Mytilus edulis: one gene and its partner. The protein of the gene in region 2 interacts with the protein of the main gene of each other region in a pairwise test. Links are inferred from orthologs where the notes say so. Each region holds a gene or a part of one and is shown on either strand. Other genes may lie near its edges.

Evidence for each region.
Region 1: the proteins of abl interactor 1-like (region 2) and actin-binding protein WASF2-like interact in a two-hybrid assay, tested with the Drosophila melanogaster proteins (2 studies listed by BioGRID, with this or other methods). The link is inferred for Mytilus edulis from reciprocal best matches to the Drosophila melanogaster genes Abi and SCAR.

The regions. Positions count from the first base shown.
Region 1 is NC_092353.1:60,953,691-60,960,011, reverse strand, and holds the start of actin-binding protein WASF2-like, read right to left. Parts: upstream 4,113-6,321; 5' UTR 4,019-4,112; intron 1-4,018. Other genes in the region: pre-mRNA-processing factor 17-like, read left to right, coding at 4,402-4,560.
Region 2 is NC_092345.1:44,932,153-44,938,473, forward strand, and holds the start of abl interactor 1-like, read right to left. Parts: upstream 3,597-6,321; 5' UTR 3,559-3,596; coding exon 3,442-3,558; intron 1-3,441.

The DNA.
Region 1 (6,321 bases), on a different chromosome or scaffold from region 2:
AATTTTAAAACATCACATGAGAAATATTCTCACATGTTTCCTTACCTGTAAAAAAACAATAATTGGTCAATGAAAGAGAAATATTAACTTTTTTCTTGTATGAGGCTGAGAAACTGGCCTTCCACAGTTTTGCGTCGAGTGCAAAAAAAGTTTATATTTTTATTAACTGTTATTTCAGTTACTTTCGTGTCTTCCCTTCCATTATGTGACTCAAGAAAAAATTCCAAAAAATGGGTATTGAAAAGAGAAAATCGAGTGCACATTTTTATGTTAGGGTGCGTTTGAAATGAATATTTTGTCTTAAAAACGTACTAAGCAAGAGTATTTGATACATCATCAGATTCTATCATTTTTATATAGCAAAGCTACAGGTTGACTTTATAACATAAAAAAAATCACAGTACTAAAAGATGAAATATATAGGTCAAGTGAAATACATATGTAACATGTGTAATGAATCACAAAATCAGAGTAGGTGTGTTCGAAAAACTTTTTTTTTTAAATAAAAGTTATAGACGACAGTCTTTTAAGTTGGATGATGACAATGCATATCTTCGAAAAAAAAATTTATCTTCCATTTCTACGATCGATTGTGAGAATGAATCGACGTAATAGGGAGATAATTTTGACGAATGTATCGTATATTTACAGGTAAGGAAACATGTGAGAATAATTGTCATGTGATGTTTTAAAATTTAAGGTCCTTTACCTCAAACATAACGTCCAATTAAATTTAAGTATCATGATGTACACAAGCTGAAACCCCGCCTATCTTAATTGCCATGCTTGAGCAAACATTGATTCAAACAAAGCAAGCAAGCCAAACAAAGATTTGTCTTGCTAGCATTAATGTAAAAGCTGTAATAACAGAGAGCAGTCCCTTTGAACATGTTGAACATGTTGAATATTGTGTATTCAATAATTTTTCAATTGTCAACGTACTAATTTTCATGGATTTGAGGAAAACTCGCATTTTCGTGGATATTTAATTTTGTGGTTTTGCTTAAGGTTGCATACATTACAATAAAAAATGTGTAATTCATTTCACATTTCAAGTTGTGGTTTCTCCAGAGTCATGAGATTCAAAGTGATACTTGATCTGGTATTTTGATCGCAAGCAGCAACCCAAATGACCTATTCAAAAATGGCTGTTGCAGTGCCTATGATATAAACATGGTTTATTTTACATCCTTCATCAAATGTACCCACAGCCAATTTCTAGTACGTTTTTTCTGGTACTGGTTTCTGAAATTTATTATAAACAAACCAAAGCGGCAAGCTACAATTTGTTATATTTCAGGGAAAATTTACTGTAGGACAGTTCAGGGATCTCCATGGATGAAAATTGAACGATGGAGGAACTTTCACCATTACAAACAGTGTCTATGCTGTACAGTGTAGCACGATCGGAAGTATTGTATACCTCCATACAAGGAATGATGAACATGCTAATTCATTGCTTATTTAAATTATATTTATTTGAATTTTCATTATAGAATTAGAAGTACAATGTATCAATATTTTCATTTATTGCCGTTTTTAACCATTCAAATGCCAAGTCTTCATGGTCCCCTTAGTCGAGAATGACCAAAAGCTGTCATGAAGGTCCCCATGTAGATTTCTTGTATTTTTGGTAATTGTTATGGGGGTTAAAAATCATATGATGTGGAGCTTATTTTTCATGGACACTGTCAAATTCATAACCCATTAACGGTATGGCTGATTTGCAGCAACAACAAAACGATTCGTACGGGTTATGTTAAAGGTTAAAGAGATTTGTAAAGCAAACGTTGACAAATGAAAAGGTTTTTAATGACTGTATCTGGCAAATTGATGCTGTGCAACATCCATCTTTCGAGTCTGAATACAAACCGGAAACACGGATGTATCAATATTGATTGTAATATACAAAATGAATTCGGAATTACGATACGATATTTCTTTACAGGAAATATTTAAGTTTTTACTTTTAAACTTTTAAAGTAATTCTAAATTATCGTTACAGCAGTACTTGAGTTAGTTGCAATGAAATAAATATTTACTGTTTTGCGTCTTATTTTGTACTTCTTAAAAAAGGGGGATGCTAATTGCGTAAGTCAAGAAAAAGCATGTGTTTCGACATTTTAAACTGTTTTCTTTGTAACTGTATTATTAATTTATTTATTTAATCTAAATTATCATAATCATCGATCATTTGCTGAAACTTAGTTGATTAATTCGACAAATGGATCGTCTATCCTCAGATAGTATTCTCCTGTCTGATTTGTTGATCTACCTGTACAAGCTCAGGTACAAGTGATTAGCGATCTTAATCCGGATATCCCTCAGGCGTTAGAACTGTATTGGATTATAACATAAAAAGCCTAAGGGTTATGCAATTACATGCATTTGATTATAAATGATAAAAAAAATAGTGTCGGGCTACAAAAAATGATGAAGTTTTGAACGATGGCGGAAGACAATTTAACGATGGCGCGAGTCATTTGACGATGGTGCGAGTCATTTGACGATGGTGCAAGTCATTTGACGATGGCGCAAGACATTTGAAAGATGGGGGGGCAGTGATATTGTTGTCTTTTTTCAAAACTACCTCTACCGTTTTTTATTGGGAAAAACGATATTTTTTATTGAAATTGGGAAATTTGTATATTTTATTCTAAACACATCTCCGATTTTTTACTGACCTTTGCTGTCTTTTTTGCACTTTTTTTTCGTGGATATTTTGGTTGTCAGACATTTTGAACCTGAAAGGTACTTTTCGGAGAGGGGAAAGAAACAGAAGCAATGTTGGTACTTAAATGCATTGAAAACCACTTGTGTTACAAGCACCATATTGATTCTGATCAGAAAACCGGATCTCAAAAGTGCTTTCTAATATCAAAATAATGACATGAATACGATATTTACAAACATTACTATCAATGCCTTCACTGTTTTGGGAAAAAGTTTAACTTTTTGGTAGGAATTTTAAGCCATTTTTTTTAGTGATTGGGAATTTCCTCTAGGGGAAAAAGCCGAATATCGGCTGTAATTTGAGGCAAACAATATCACTGGGGGGGGGGGGGGGGGGGCCATCGTTAAACAGGCCATGGAAATCCCTGGGACTGACATGTCATTCATGACAGTCTTACTGTCAAAGGTCAAAATAAATTTTAGCAAACTCTGGTTCCTTTAATTTGATACCACTATAACCATGAAAATTTGTAATCAAAGTCATACATGTCATCATGGTCATAACAATGAATTCAGTGTACTGTTCATATATATCTTATAATAAAATTTGTTGCAAGTATATAATGCATCTCAGCTGCATCTGTCTCATTTTATTTTTAAAAACCGCCATACATGATATTATTGTTCATGTTGTTAGTTCCGTCTGTACTAAAATCATAATTCCCTAGTGAGATTGGATTTAGCTATGTAAGTATACTCGCTGCATTGTTTCACAGAGGTTCAGGTTAAGACAAAGTGATTAAGAATTATGAACAACATTACAATTGATTGCCCAGCGACAGCATGGAACAGGTGACTGGCCCAAGTGACATTAGTGATGATGCCCTAAAAACGCAAAAATGATGTTCAATATGACAATTAGACCAAAGTTTTGACAGAAATGCAGCCAACTTAAGAGTGGTCTTTCACATCACTGATAACCAATTCAGGACTACACCATTATTTGTGGTTTACTCTTTACAAAAATTTATCTGGATAATTTAACATTCCGACCCTAAGCTGCATTGAATGATTGATTACGAATTGAGCTGTGTATTGAGATATGAAGATGCTTTAAGGGATCAGTATGAAAAGATTGAATGTGTAACTATGAACATATTCTTGAAATGATCAAATCTGTCTACATTTCTTGGATTCGACCTGAAAGATGACAGCAGAAAAACAAAAACAGGTCACTGGCACACCCAAGTTTTATAATAAATTTTGAGTAGTTAAGAAAAATGGCATGATTTTTCACGTGGTTATTCGAACAAATGATTCTTTTGTGATATAGAAACATGCTCACCAGTTGCATTCAAACTTCATGATTGGAAAAATGTAAATATTTACGATACAGCATCATCAATCCGGGAAGTCAAGAAAATGGCGATGAAATCTCGTTAATTATCATGCATTCTCATTATCAACGAGACTTGACATAAATTTGATTGAAGTCCTCATTAAGAAAATATTCCTTTCATTCAATTGATTTCTATAATTTACAAAAACTTTAACAAAACCAGACAATAAATGAAAAAATAAAATTTGATATAAAACTTAATTTCATTTACTGCAGTAAACTTTTTGTTCGATACTGTTGTTTACTCATTTAGTTTCCGGTTAATGCTTTTTGAAACGTTTTTTGCCTAGTTTTACTCTTTCAACGCCAATTATTGAAAATGTCCTAAAATGTTGGCACTCCAACAATATAGCAGTGATGAAGACAATTCAGATCATGAAAACAAAGATCATTTAGAGGATCTCACAGCCCATCTCAGACCAATAAATCAGCAAAATGCTATTTCTTCAACGATTCAGTTGAAAGCAGCACCAGAAATATTTACAAAAGTATGACAACCATATTTTGAAAAGTTTTCCAGATAATCTGTTTCCCAAAATTCTAATTTGTATCCTCTTTTATATTTGAATGAGGTGCTACCTGATGTCAGTTACGAGTACCCGTGAGATTGCTTTCAAGACATGACCGCCATATTTCCATGGTTTTACCCTCCCACACAATATCTGGTATGCAAACCGGAGTTAAAACTAGATTGGATACTTCGGGGGCATTAGTAGGTATCAGGTCCGTTCGCGCCCAATACACTTTCGTATTTGCAGCCTACACATTCGCACCTCTCATGTTCGCTCCGGAAGTACGTTCGCGTAGTCTTTAGAAGTGTCAACTTGACATTATAATCTCTCTGTAATTTCGATCATCCTGGTAATTTTATGTCGCTACTGTATAAAACTCATTTGTATATTTGTTTTTATGATGTGGCACTGCAGAGAAAAACAAATAAATAAATAAATAATTAATTAACTAAAAAAAAGTAAACAAATAAATGAATAAATAATTAACCCTTATAAAACCGTAACTATCTATTTTGTGAACCTTCCAGTATCTTTAATAAAGACCCCTAACAAATGTTGAATATCTTCTATGTGATGTTTGTAATTATCATTTTCTGTTGTTGCTAATAATACTTCTGATTCAAGTGTAAGTTTTGATGTTATGAAGTACATGTAGAGTGCAGAGAGGAGTTTTTCTCTAGCCTTCTCATAATTTTCACAATCCAGTAGATAATGGTCAACTATACCTTCGCACCCATTTTTGTCGAGCCTTCGACTTTAGTCGAAAAAGCGAGACTAAGCGATCCTACATTCCTTCGTCGTCGGCGGCGTCCACAAATGTTCACTCTGTGGTTAAAGTTTTTGAAATTTTAATAACTTTCTTAAACTATACTGAATTTCTACCAAACTTGGACAGAAGCTTGTTTATGATCATAAGAAAGTATCCAGAAGTAAATTTTGTAAAAATAAAATTCTATTTTTTCCGTATTTTACTTATAAATGGACTTAGTTTTTCTGCGAGGTAACATTACATTCACTCTGTGGTTAAAGTTTTTAAAATTTTAATAACTTTCATAAACTATCCTTGATTTGTACCATACTTGGACAGAAGCTTGTTTATGATGATAAGATAGTATCAAGAAGAAAATTTTGTGAAAATAAATTTCCGCTTTTCCGTATTTTACTTATAAATGGACTTAGTTTTTCTGCGAGGAAACATTACATTCACTCTGTGGTTAAAGTTTTTAAAATTTTAATCGCGGTGCGCGGTTTGTTTGTAATTTCCATCAATTTAGCAGATAAACTTTTTACTCTGGTAGATTAATCAATGAGTGATCGATTTCTCTTAGAAGAAATTTAAAGGTCTGAGTGAATAGACTATACAGAGAACAATACCTGTTGTATTTGTTCAATGGGACAATAGAACGGCCAAAAGTTTAAATGGACAGGTAACTATCAGGTGAATCTATTGAAAGGTTCAATTGGGTTCGCAATAATGTAAAAAAAAAATATGACATTCCTTGCATGTGTTACTGAGCAAGTGTCGCCTTGGGCCAGAGTAACAAAATAGGATTCAGATTTATAAACAATTAAACAAACATTTAATTTCAATTGTTCACTTATTAAATTTATCCATCTTATTGTAATAATAACAATTTGTATAACCAAAAATAAAGATAATTGTTTTTAACAGCTTGGCTCCTTTGAACTCATGTAAAAAAAATATTCATAGCAATACACTAACCAAAACATGATTAA
Region 2 (6,321 bases):
TTAATATGTCTTTTGATTGAGTTAAGCCAATTCAATTGATATTTTTTATAGTGTTATTCTATGTTTTGATGTTACAATTTTGTTTCAGGTAAGGGTGAAATATTAAAATGTTTAAACCTGCTGGATTTGTTTGCAACTGTCAAAAATCAGGAACCTGATGTTCAGTAGTTGTTGTTTGTTGATGTGGTTCCTGGTTTGTTGATGTGGTTCATACATGTAAGTGTTTCTCGTTTATAATATAGCTAAGACCGTTGATTTTGTTTGAATGGTCTTACACTCATCATCATGATCATTTTGGGGTCCTTTATTATATTATATAGCTTGCTGTTCCATGTGAGCCAAGGTTCCATGTTGAAGACTGTACTTTGACCTATAGCATAGCCAGATCCAGGGGGCCTGAGCCTCCTCCTTTTCAAGGGGAAAACTTGGTTGATTTTATAGTGAATCACTGAAGCAAGACTGAAGCCCCCCCCTCTTATGAAAATCTCGATCTGCCACTGTCTAAGGGTTTTTCTTTTGCAAATTGTGACTTGAAAGGTTAGTTGTCTCATTGGCACTCATATCACATTTTCTTATAATTATCTATATAGTATTTCCATACTTTCATACTATTTCCACTTCTATCACTTCTATCCAAAACAATCTGCCCCTATTCAATATGGCTGAAATACATTTTTAACTGTGAAGTGGCCTATATCATGTACATCTTTATCTATTTTTCAGCCCTTACTGGCATGGACATCACTGAAAATTTTGATGTCATAATCAGTGTTCTAGCCAGGATTTAAAAAGGGCAATTTAACGAGTACATGTCATTAAAAAGGGCAATTATTTATGTGTTATAATTAATTAGTATATAACTAAGGCACTATGGTATTATCAATTTTCAGTAAAAATTGAGTAATAAATTTTAAATAATGGCACCATGTTTTATGTTTAACTTTTAATATCAGGGTATCATCTACAATGTACATTTACTCACTCAATCACCTCAAATATTTTGTTGCATTTACTTTTGTTTAAAGGGCATAATGTACAATGCCAAGAGCAACTGTTGACAGTCAAGGCAATTGGAAAACACTCTTATTTCAAATTATTTTTTAATGCACTTCATAAATCAATCAATGGAAGTGAAGATGTGAAAAATAATTTTAAAAATATTTATTATTCAGGTTTTTTAGGTAAACTTAATTAAAAGTTATACTTTAAAATGCATTTGCATTCAATTTGTTATTAATTCAATCTTTTTTTTTAAAAAGAACATAAAACTTAAGACAGTCAGGGGACTTACTCAAATAAGTGATTTTTAAATCACTTATTTGAGTAGCAAATTCGAGGTTTTGTCACAAATTGGGATTTTGTAGTTTTTTCAAAATTTTAAACACATAGGTTTAAGTAACATCTTTTAATTAGTAAGTTTTATGCCTTTGATGCTTTCATTTACCTGAAAATTCTACTTTAGTTGAAAAAATGCTATAATAATGGCTTTACATAATGAACTGATACTTTCTTAAAAGATTTTTCACAGCAGTGAGGGTATTTTTCCTGTGAAGTTCAAGGTTTCATCTTTCAGATTGTGTAATAAAATGCTACTGTTCGCGATAAAAATTTCACTGTTCGGGGGTGTTGAAATTAGTGGAGGTTATTAAAAGAATGATACTTAAAGAAGTGATTTTTGGGAAGGAAATTCAGGTCTGATACTTAAACAAGTGATTTTTATGTCATTATCCTAGATTCAGTACAAGGTCATCACCTGAAATGACCTGGTCATCCTAGACAACACAGATGTTGGTTCTGATAAGTTTTACTGTTTAGAAACATAATTAGTCCCTGGATCATTAGTATTCTATATTTAAAGCTACACTAATATTAAATCACTTCTTCTAGTGATTAATTTGTACTACTTAAATAGGCGATTATTAAAGAAAGAAAACTCTAACTTCCAACCTTTATGGAAATAATGTTACTTGAATCAGTGATTTAGAAAATCACTTGTTTAAGTAAGTCCCCTGACTGTAAGAAGAATATTGTGAAAGGTGACAAAAAAGGGGAAGTAACAATCTTTTTTTTGTCAAACATTTTTGAGTTCTAAAAAATTATTTATGACCTATAAAAGCTAAGGTAATTGTTGTTAATTAACAATGTACTTGACATCAAAGCTGACAAGTGAAGCCATGCACTTAATGGGTCACTTAATTGTACAGTTTACACAGCTAGGTGAACTTCCTGTTTATGAAAGAATTACGAATTTGTCGGTATTTTAAAGGCAGAAATGCCGAGATTTTCGCCATAAAAACGGCAGGGCGCCAGAGAAACCACAGAAAAAAGCTAGGGCGTCAACAAAAAAGGGCGAGCGTTGCGCCCTGTTCAAACTTTCTAGCTAGAACACTGATAATAGAAAATATCAGACCCCACAATGTGGGTCTCATTGGGGTCTAAGCGTGACGCGGGATTGCCGATTTTTTGTAAGCGTGACACATGGAAGTCAAATTCTTGTGCTGTGAAAACAGGAAATGGAGTCTAGCGGGACACGGGAAATTACAAAAAAAATGTGAATTGCTTACATACATAGTGTAAACGGGATACAGGAATCTGACACAACAGAAAGCCGGATCCGGGATCAGAACCCCCAATGAGACCCCCACAATCATTTGACAATGGTAAATTGATTGTTGTAAAATGTATGATGTCAATACACCTTATCGCTAATCCCGGCTGACCCGGCCGCTTGAACTTTTGACGTCAACAACAATCACTTTTCCATTGTGGCGTCAGATATTTAGTTTTATGACGTCAAAATTTTACGGGAACCTGTGTGATTTCCAGCAATGGCGGACAAATAGCGATAAGGTGTATATTCAAGAGGCACAGATTCTTGGGTCAAGCAGAGCAGATTTTCAAATAGTAATAAACATGATAAAGGTCTATTTGGCAAATGTGTAAGGTTTTAGCATTTTATTAGGTGAAAAATATTTCATTCAGGGATTATATAAAACAATGAATGACAGGAGTGGTGACTGATGTTAATTTAGAAATTGCACATGTCTGTTTTTCTGTTTTTATTTTCAATCTCTTCCATTTTATACATTGTAGTACTTACCAATTTTAAGTGAGTCTCATTGGGGTCTAAGCGTGAGGTGGGATTGGTCATTGGATCGTGTGACGATTGAAAGTAGAATCATTAAGCGGAAAACGGGAAATGAAGTCCTGCGGGACACAAGAAATTACATGCGCTATTTTGGCAACAAGAAGTACATTTGAGATTACAGGATTCTCACTTAACAATAAGAGGGATCCTGGACCAGACCCCAAAATGAGAACCCCTTCAAGAGTGAATTAACAATTATGCTATTCATGAGGACTGTGACTGAGTGAGAATAGGAAGCTGTGAGCCTGTGTTGTTCGCAGGCAACTGGCGTTTTTGAAGAAATAAAGGACTACCTTTAGATAATTGTCCCTACAATACTGTGCAACTTTGTCAAGATTTATATAACTTTCTTGTAGATGTTGGCGACCTTCTGGGATTTCTTGATCAAGAAGCTGCGTTACTTCTGCCATTTTTACTACTTCCTGTTTATTATGTTGAGGTTAACTTGTTTCAGTGTACTTTGGCGTACGCCAATATATTATTACCGGCGCGTATCGCTAAGAGACAGATTCGCCACCTAAAATATTCGTCTCCGGTCTTGATGATATTGTTAAGCTGTGTAAATTTGTACTTGGAGTAAGAATTAAATAAAAATCAGATATTGCATCAAAAGACTCTAGGTCCACTTCCTACACGTTTTTTATGTTAATAATTTATGAATATGATTAAATATTGGATTCATCTGTTTAAAAGAAATAAATTGAAACTTCCAGTGGCGGATCCAGAAATTTTCATAAGTGGGGCCCACTGACTGACCTAAGAGGGGGCCCGCTCCAGTAACGCTTCAGTGATTCCCTATATAAGCAACCAAATTTTTCCCCCCTGCCCCCCCCCCCCAAAAAAAAAAATCCGCCTATGACTTCTAATATTATCCCATTCTGTGAACAAATCTTACCAGGAAACTGAGATAGGAAACAGTAAAATTTATGTGTAAACCAGTCAAACTTTAAATAAAAAACAAACATATATTAATTTAAAAAAAGGTATAAACAATTAAATCAATTTCTAAAGGGACTTATCATTTTTAACCTGGGAGGGGGGCTGGTCATTTTGAATTCAAACATATAAAATTTCTTGATCCCTCATAATATTTCACAATTTTCATTTAATCCCCCTAGTAAAACTGACATACGGCCTTTTCCATCAATATTGCAAGTCAGTGCTTTTAGTAGTTTTTTCTGACTTTTTTTTCTAAATTCCTATATTGTGCTAAAAAAGAAAACTTGATCCTAAGCAACTCACACAATAACTTTTAGAAACCGGCAGTAACAATACATTATTTATTTAGAGGAATCTATTATATGAATGCTGCTTAATTAAGCTTTACGTAAGGCCTTATTGAAACCTCAATTGAGTCGCTAAACTTTTATATGCAATTTAAAAAAAAAAAAAACTTCTAGAAAATATCATTTTTTTGTAGTTTGAAAAATAAAAAAAACTCGACCAGGAGTTGTCTACCATAAGCATAAGTCTAGGGAACTGGGGTAAGGGGACACATTAAGCGTATACAGTATACACACGTTTCGGTTCGCTGGGACATGTATGATATATTAAGAATTATAATTTATAGTTTAGCTAGCTATAAAACCAGGTTCAATCCCCCATTTTCTACATAAGAAAATGCCTGTACCAAGTCAGGAATATGACAGTTGTTTTCAATTCGTTTGATGTGTTTGAACTTTTGATTTTACCATTTGATTGGGGACTTTCCTTTTTGAATTTTCCTTGAAGTTCATTTTTTTTGTGATTTTACTTTTTTCTCCAAGTCACAGTTTCTTCCAAAATTACTGAATGATCGATGTGTCAATGACAATGTTGATTATCCAACATATTACTTTGTTTAAATTAGTATTACGTACATGGGGGAAAATATACTTGCCTCCCCGTGCCGCTAAAGTTATATTTGCTTAAGAGCATAAAAAACCACATCTATTTCCATAGCTACGACCATACAATAAAGATACATATAACATCCCCCAAAAAGAAAATTTCCCAAATTTTATCAAAATGGTGTATGTGTTTTATCCATATAAAAATTGCACTATAATAAATTCAAACTATATAATCACTTCCGTATATTAAGACTCAATCAGTTTCCAACTAATCTTTGTAAATACATTTGTATCAACTGAAATATTCTGGCTGACCAGTTCTCAATCTAGCATCGTATACATGTGCCGACATTTTTGTTTAAATGTACTTTAATCACTCTAATCATTCTAATAATCATTTACTGGGCTTTATTTTGTCAGTCATGCATCGTTGACAATGTAATGGAATTTGATGCGACTGTCATACAAGTGAGAGGTTTAGCTAGCTATAAAACCAGGTTCAATCCACCATTTTCTACATTAGAAAATGCCTGTACCAAGTCAGGAATATGACAGTTGTTATCCATTCGTTTGATGTGTTTGGACTTTTGATTTTGCCTTTTGATTTTTGATTTTCCTTTTTGAATTTTCCTCGGAGTTCAGTATTTTTGTGTTTTTACTTTTTTTGATTGTGTAGCTCAAATTTTGGGCGCAATGTATATTGATTGGTGGAAAAAAATACCTGTACAAGATATGAAAAAAATAAACGATTTTTTTATTCAATCATTGATAACAGTTCAATTTTGTTATAATAAGTAAAGAAACATCGCTGATAAATGGTTCGCTTGCAATTGAATTATTATTACATGGGTTTGATAGATATAGGAAGATTTGAGTGACAACTCTCCATCCAAGACATACTTTATAAAAGTAAACCATTAATTATAGGTCAATGTAAGGTCTTCAACACGGAGCCTGGGCTCACACCGAACAGCAAGCTATAAAGGGCCCCAAAAATTACTAGTGTAAACCCATTAAAACGGAACAGCCGAGAAATCGGTATATAACAGAATTTCGTCACCGTCCGGCAATTTTCTAAATCGGAAGTTAAGTACTTAATTGTGTTATATAAAGGAATATACGGTAGGGAAAACAAATTCTGAGACGAGTGCCTGTGATCAAATATAAGAATTTGAGTCACTCAAATCGATGAACATGAATTGTCAGTTTATGCCCCTATAAGGGTTACGTAACTAAGAAAGAATAAAATATAAAATTGAGAATGGAAATGGGGAATGTGCCAAAGAGACAACAGCCCGACCATATAGCTGACAACAGCAGAAGGTCACCAACAGGTCTGCA